Linked DNA regions of Bombyx mori. The protein of the gene in region 2 purifies or fractionates together with the protein of the main gene of each other region. This does not show direct contact. Links are inferred from orthologs where the notes say so. Each region holds a gene or a part of one and is shown on either strand. Other genes may lie near its edges.

Region 1 (3,762 bases), on a different chromosome or scaffold from region 2:
TGCTTTGCTCTTCAAATACATATATCTATGACTGTTACCCGTGATGTAGCTAAATAGATTCTGCGATTCATTTTACGATAACATTATAATGAATTATGAGCAAATTACTGGTAGAACGTCTTGTGAGTTCGCACGGGTAGGTACCACCACCCAGCCTATTTCTGCCGTGAAGCAGTAATGCGTTTCGGTATGAAAGGCGGGGCAGCCGTTGTACTGTTAAAAGTAAGACCTTAGAAGTCATGTCTCAAGGTGGGTGACGGCATTTACGTTGTAGATGTCTATGGGCTCCGGTAACTACTTAACACAAGGTGGGCCGGGCCGTGTGCTTGTACACCAATCTAAGCAATAAAAAAAAAGTGTGTTTGACTTATTTATTTTTGAGTGCAAATTTCCCACTAACAGGAGAGTAAATAACAAACCAGGGTATAAAGTCAAGAAGAAGGCGAAATTGTCAAACACTACAGTGTTTTTTTTTTATTGCTTAGATGGGTGGACGAGCTCACAGCCCACCTAGTGTTAAGTATTTACTGGAGCCCATAGACATCTACAACGTAGATGCGCCACCCACATTGAGATACAAGTTCTAAGGTCTCAGTATAGTTACAACGGCTGCCCCACCCTTCAAACCGAAACGCATTACTGCTTCACGGCAGAAATAGGCAGGGCGGTGGTACCTACTCATGCGGACTCATAAGTGGTCCTACCACCAGTAGAAAGTGTTTTAGTTTATAATCTACACATAGACAAACACTCACAAACAGACACACACGAGTTAAAAATGAAAACATGCCTTGTTTTGTCAACATTTTTAGTTGTGTTTTTAGTAATAAAAGTTGAGTTTGAGTAATCTCAAAATGTAGTGTAATTATTTTTAACATCATATTTTTACAATTTTTGGGACAAGATTTGTTTCAATTATTCATAGGACAGATAGTCTTGAACATGAATACTAAAAAAATTCAACAAATAAATGAATTTTAGAAAAGGATTTTTTGAAAAAAAAATTATATCTAGATTAATTCAAATCAAACAATCACTTAGATGTTTAGAGACTATGGAAGTTAAAGAAATCTAACACTATGTAGATATTCATTATCAATATCAGAGAGACCCCAGTTATACCTGGTTCTGCAGCAATAATATAAGAATACCATTATATCAATGAGATTTTGACTTTATTACTCTTCCAATATGTAGCATCCACTTGACTTCATTTGTCAAATTAAGAATACACCAGAATCCACATTCTCATATCTAGCTTACTCAGTAAAAACTCTATATTAGGTGAACAGTATAACTCTCTTGCCAATGTATATCTTTGAAAGAAGATTTCAATTCTAAAACTTAATTGTATTGGAGTAAAACTAAACAGCATGTAAGATTATCGTATTTAAGGGTAGAGTTCGGTAGATATTCACAAGACACTTTAAGCACACTTAATACATAATATATGTTAGTCCCCTTTTCTCTAGTTTTCATCTCCAAACAGCGCTTCTGAGAATTTGATAACATTATTTGGAGATAACAGTCTATTACAAATTGGATACCTCATGCTTGAGATATCTATTCATTCATATCTTTATAAAGCCACAAAGTATATAATGCTTGGTTTTCACTATTCCAAGTCAGAACCTGCTAATCTGGTAAATACTGGCTTTGCATGGATGTCACTATCACCCTGTGGCAGGTAACCATCATACAAAGCAAGTTGCCTGAATCTCGCTTACAACATTTTCAAGATAAAGTGCATATATACAAGTTCCGAACAACAACATTCGGACCATCGGTCTACCGAGCAATATCACCCGCTCGGTGGAAGATCTTCTCTTTGTCGTTAAGCCTCCCAAAACCCCATTCCTGGACTCTTTAAGTATACGAAGAGACTATTAAAATTCTTAAGCATATCTCAATCTTTTAATAGCCTTCTAACACTCATTGTTTTAGTTCCTATAGCATGCAGTTAGTTTCCAATGGAATAGGCAAACAGACTGTCGATAGACAGTTTGTCCTGAATTTTCTTTCCATATTTTATAATCCAGACTAATTTTTTAAATGAAACCTCTGTTTTGGTTTAAAAAAAGAATCTACTGTTGTTTCAATTGTTAATAATGCATTTAATCATCATCACACATCAGAAAGAAAATTAACGTTAGAACAATAAAACATTCCTAGATGTATTTATATTACTTACACCAATACAAATATCCTGAAAACACAGATCAATATTATAAATAATGAACAGAAATTCCTTTTTGTCTTCCTTGCTGTAACAAGGCTTACAAACTTTTAAGTATTGTAACTATTTTTATAGAGGTAAAATGATTTTATTAATTTTGTTACAAAAGTTTGTCCTTCAGGTTTCTATGTGCTTTACATTAACGTTCATTTGTTCGTAATAGGCCAATAAAAAAATTGTTGTCAACTTAATAATGAGAAAAAGTGTCTTCCACTTACCTTAACATCAATATCTCCTATTTTGTTTTCAGCGCGTATGATCGGCCTGCCGACCATGGAAGGGAATATAAATGCCGGAAAATTGCTACCAGCGAAGCCACATTTCACAAACTGTAATACATCGAAAGGAAAACCGTACGTGATTCAGAGCTTATCTAAAAATTCTAATAGTCTACAAATTTTGTGTTCACTTACGCCGGTACCGTTGTCGCAAACGATAACTTTCCGTCCTTTGTCGTCCATTTTATTTAGTTTTTAATTTATTTTATTAATATTAAAAAGTTATAATGTAATTTGTTTTTTAGAACACTACACAACTCCCCAACTCCCGCAAAGCGGAAAGCAAATCTCACAATTCTGTAAAAATGACAAATCGTTGTCATAAACTATATGCAGTACAAAATACACCTTTAAAGACACTTCGTATAAAGTTTTATTTTGAATGCAAAAATTAAATTCTTGTGTGACACACCTTCTCCTTGAAGTAATTAGTCTTTTTAGCATGTGTATTGAAATATTGTGTTGTCCGTAAAAAAACTGTCAGAATTTTAATTTAGCTATTTCAACCAAATTTAATCATTAATTAACTAACATATTTAATTAATTAAGAAGCAAAATAAAATGTTCATTGTGACTTTATTTGGCTCGTTAAAACTGACTCGTTAGGCCATACTTCAGTGGTTAGGCCCTGACACTGACATTTGACAGCCCAAAGTAATGATTTATCTAATGTCACACAAATGTCATACTTCAAGAAAGGCATGGTTTTGAGAAACGTTTGTTTTCAGGTTTTCACGTGCCTTATTTATATTTAACGTAACATGATACAATAACTTACAATGAAGCATAAAAGATTTGAGGAAAATATATTAATTGATGAGGCTTACACTAATTACGGTCAAGCTGATAAGAACGCAGATGATAAGAAAGGCCAGGGTATCGCAAAGAATTTCGCCGAAAGCCTTGAATATGGTGAAAAAAAGAAATGGTTTCATCAGGTTTGTGATATAGAACATAAGTCTAAATGTTTATTTTCCCTATTTAAAAAAAAGCGTAGGAAATAAGGCTTTAACACATCAATTCAAAATTGTATTTAACCTTTACTATGATTTCGATCGTCCAGTCGTATTAGTAATCGATGCTCATTCTTCTTCTTCTTCGTCGCTTTCTTCATTGCTGAAGGTCGTGTCCCTGAAACTTGACCGTTGCCTGTCTCGTGAGCTGTTTCCATCTCGTCCGGTCCTCAGCTGCTCGAATGGCGGTTGCGACTGGCAACCCAGTTAGAGATACTCATACGATGCTCATACC
Region 2 (3,670 bases):
TATCCATGCGGTCAGCTTGGACACCGAATTTGCCACCATATCTGTCAAATTCGACAAGCTCATAAACACACCATCTTTGATAGTATTGGTCTTTCCATGCTATTAAAGAGCCTCTAGTCATTATTTCCTCATAAATGGTATATTATATTGTTACGCGCTGGGACTCGGGATGAATAAAGCTTCCAGCGAAGTACTAATTAAAACTCTATTTAACACTTAGAACATCTTAGGAACACTTTACAATTCGCACTTCACTTCCGCTTCGCTTCACGTGATCCGTTCGCTGTTTCGCTTCGAATAGATTACCAACTGCCTTCATGTCATCTCTGCAATGCTTTTATAGTAGACACGACAAGATTACAATTATTGAGAAAGTTCACGATAGAACAAGACGTTTCGATATGTGTTTCCGATATTTGATAATAGATGGCGTTGCACATCTCGAGCGTTCTCGATACTACTAGTTCTTTTGATATTCGTTTCTGTTATTTAATGACAGATGGCGTTATTCTTACCCAAGTAACAATATAGTTTATTCGTCATATAATCTGCCTTAATCGTCACTATTCTAGGTTCACTGACCAGAGACTTTTGTTATTGAAGACAACTACAAGTATCCACTACAACAAAGTCTCAATTTAATGATAATTATGCTATATGACATCTAGCATCTATTTACTTGAGCGAGCTGACGTAACGTGCACTATAATTAATTTAACATGTTGATTTATTTTATGCAATGTTAATTCATCAATCATTAATTCATTAGTGTACTTGTTTTACTACTTAAGAATACACCTTATTCAGGCTATACCAGGCTTTATTGGGTCAGGCCCTGGAAACCACATTTAAAGTTGATCACATACCCAAATGAAGGTTTCGGTCCAGCCTCATACTGTTTCTTCTTGGCTAATTTGTCAGCTTCAAATACCTCTTCACGTAATTTTGCCATGCTGTTAAAGAATTATAATAAAATTGTAATAGGTGCAGATAATATGGGCACATATTACATAATATAATAAATACATTTAATATAAAACATGTATAGTATCTGGTTCGTATATTGAGCACTGGACCCCTTCACCGAGGGGACCTCATAACCACTCTTTAGCAAGGGTCAGTTTATATTCAACAAATTATATAATATGTAAAATAATTCCAAGTTTTTCAAGCATGACTAATTCATTATACATAAATGATATGTCTCAAAACAAATGAACATTTACAAAGCGGTTTTAACATTACAGATTGCTTTCTTTACGTCATAGGATATTCATTAGGTACGCTTTATTAGCCTGTATTGAGGTAGATCAACTTTTGTGTTTCTTAATTTAAGTAAATTAAATAATCATTTATATTTTTGAGCTTTTTTATTACTTTCATATATGTTTTCCTATCACTTTCACATATGTTTTCCATCCCATGAAAAAATATGTGATAATAGTTTAACTTTACAAACAATTATGTGTAAAATTAGGGTAGCCAATAATGTTGCGGAAAACTGTCATGCTTTCCCAAAAATATTTATTCACACTGTGTAATTGACATACGAAAATACATGTAAATGCAGTCCCAACCATGTTCTTCAACAGTATAAGCTTTATAATCGAACCTCATAAATTAGGTTAAAAAACATTGCTCACTCAATTGCCTCAACATTCCTTCCGGCGGGCCCCCATCTTTGTTCCTGTTCACTCACATCATTAACATAGTCGGGATCTGTTTCCCAATCATCTGCTTCAGCAGGCTCTGGTGCCTTCACATTAGTAGCAGCTTTCCACATCTGTGAGTGAAATGTTTGAACAGATATTTTAAAAATGACTTATGTGCAAATTATAGATTGGAAACAGGGGCTATTGTCAGGTTATTTCTAACTATAAAACAGTGTTTCCCACTTTTGTAAAATATTTATGCCCTCATACAATATAATTTTTAACATTAAAAAATTGATTTGTTCACTTAAGAAACATAAATGTTAGGTTTTAGGTAGAAATCACTATGAAATTGTTATCAGAACACAGTAAGTAATATTTCAAAACATATAATAAAAACTGAAATTCAAATTCAAAATAATTTTAATACAGATTTTCTATATTCATTTAGTGCAATTGCCCCACTTAATTATCAAATTGGCCCCTTGTAGGGCATAGGCCTCACGTAGGGAAACGCCTCTCTACAATGTAATAGAAAGACAATAAGCACTCAATTAAAATCAAAAGTAGTATCAGTTTAAAGGTGTGGAGCAAAAATGCATCTTGTGCTTGTTGTAATATTTGCAATTACATAATTATGCTGATGGTACTTGCAAAAATATCGAATGATATAAGGTTGATGATGCCATGGACAGGACGTGTAGTCATGACCCCCAGCATTGATAGAACGAGATGCAGAAGTTTTAATATTTTCTTATTTTTTCCAAATCAATTTATCTGTGTACTTACTAATACTTTTACAGACGACTGATAATATTTGCACTATCTGAAGAAAAAATTAGATAAACATTTTGATAACACGAAAAAATTATATTTACGTAAACAATCAGGTACTTATTTGATTACTTATATTGGAATAACAAAACTATCCTTTTATTGGAATAATAAAAGTTCAATATTGACTTGAGACCAACTTATTAGTAGTAATCTAATTTAATTCACCTTATTCCTTTGAACCGGTTGAGGAAAACAAACACGTTTTTAAAGTTCTATTTTAAACTTTCACTTTTAACGCATAAAAAATTATCGACTGGTTAAAATGTCATCGATATATTTTAATGGTGAGAATTTTTTAACTCTAAAAAACGTTTTCTCAATTTGTTTTTACTTTCATATTTTGTATTTGGATAAAATTTTGGGCGATGGTTTTTGTGATGCGTCAGCCTCTGACAGATGTCATCGTTGTCAAATAGAATCACAGACTATACACTAAAATATACGAGATATACAAAAAAATAAAATTTATAAAAATATTAAGTAGTTACCTACCACATAATATGTCAATAACATTATTCATTTTCTACTATCAGCTTGAGCAATTTATTATAACTGTTAATAACTCAACCGTTTAGCATATTTTTGTTTATGTGATCTTCAATGTAATTAACTCGAAGAGTGACGATCTTGGTGACGGTTCACCCAATCTGAAAGGAATGGGTGAACCACCTCGATGATCGAGGGCGAGATCAAGCTTCCAACACTGCCAGCTGAGCAATCAGCCTACGTTTTCCAACGAACACCAATTCCAGGAAGATGCTTGCCTCGTTTACCAGTATCCATCCTTTCGAATCACCACTCACGTGCGGAAGTTTCAACGATCGTCCACTTTGTGCTCATAGACCCTGAGTTTAACCCTATATCCGAAATGGCTGTCTTCGTTTACAATATGGGCGTCGGCAGGAGGCCTGTGACAAGTGGTGAAGGGGGCAAAATCCTGAATTTTCCAAGGATGCCACCAAAGTCACCCCTTCCCTTTACTATCGTATGAAAGAATAACGATCAACTCGGAGCTCAACGCATAAGACGTTGCATTGTCATTCAATGACATGTTTTAATTATTATTAAAATACATATTTTCATTGCATTAACTTTATTCCGTAAAATACAACACTTACAACTAAAATATCACAAAAAAAAAACAAACACCATACAAAAAACAACTATTAAATAAACATACT

Evidence for each region. Proteins that work in one complex are often made in the same cells at the same time.
Region 1: the proteins of src substrate cortactin (region 2) and actin-related protein 2 purify together in Homo sapiens (affinity purification with mass spectrometry; 3 studies listed by BioGRID and IntAct, with this or other methods). This does not show direct contact. The link is inferred for Bombyx mori from reciprocal best matches to the Homo sapiens genes CTTN and ACTR2.

What each region holds. Positions count from the first base shown.
Region 1 is NC_085130.1:7,235,419-7,239,180, forward strand, and holds the start of actin-related protein 2, read right to left. Parts: upstream 2,878-3,762; 5' UTR 2,698-2,877; coding exon 2,650-2,697; intron 2,566-2,649; coding exon 2,455-2,565; intron 1-2,454. Other genes in the region: CCAAT/enhancer-binding protein zeta, read left to right, coding at 3,294-3,452. UniProt on the Homo sapiens protein: ATP-binding component of the Arp2/3 complex, a multiprotein complex that mediates actin polymerization upon stimulation by nucleation-promoting factor (NPF).
Region 2 is NC_085113.1:1,685,282-1,688,951, reverse strand, and holds the start of src substrate cortactin, read right to left. Parts: upstream 2,923-3,670; 5' UTR 2,655-2,922; intron 2,486-2,654; exon of another isoform or gene 2,442-2,485; intron 1,784-2,441; coding exon 1,644-1,783; intron 954-1,643; coding exon 867-953; intron 42-866; coding exon 1-41.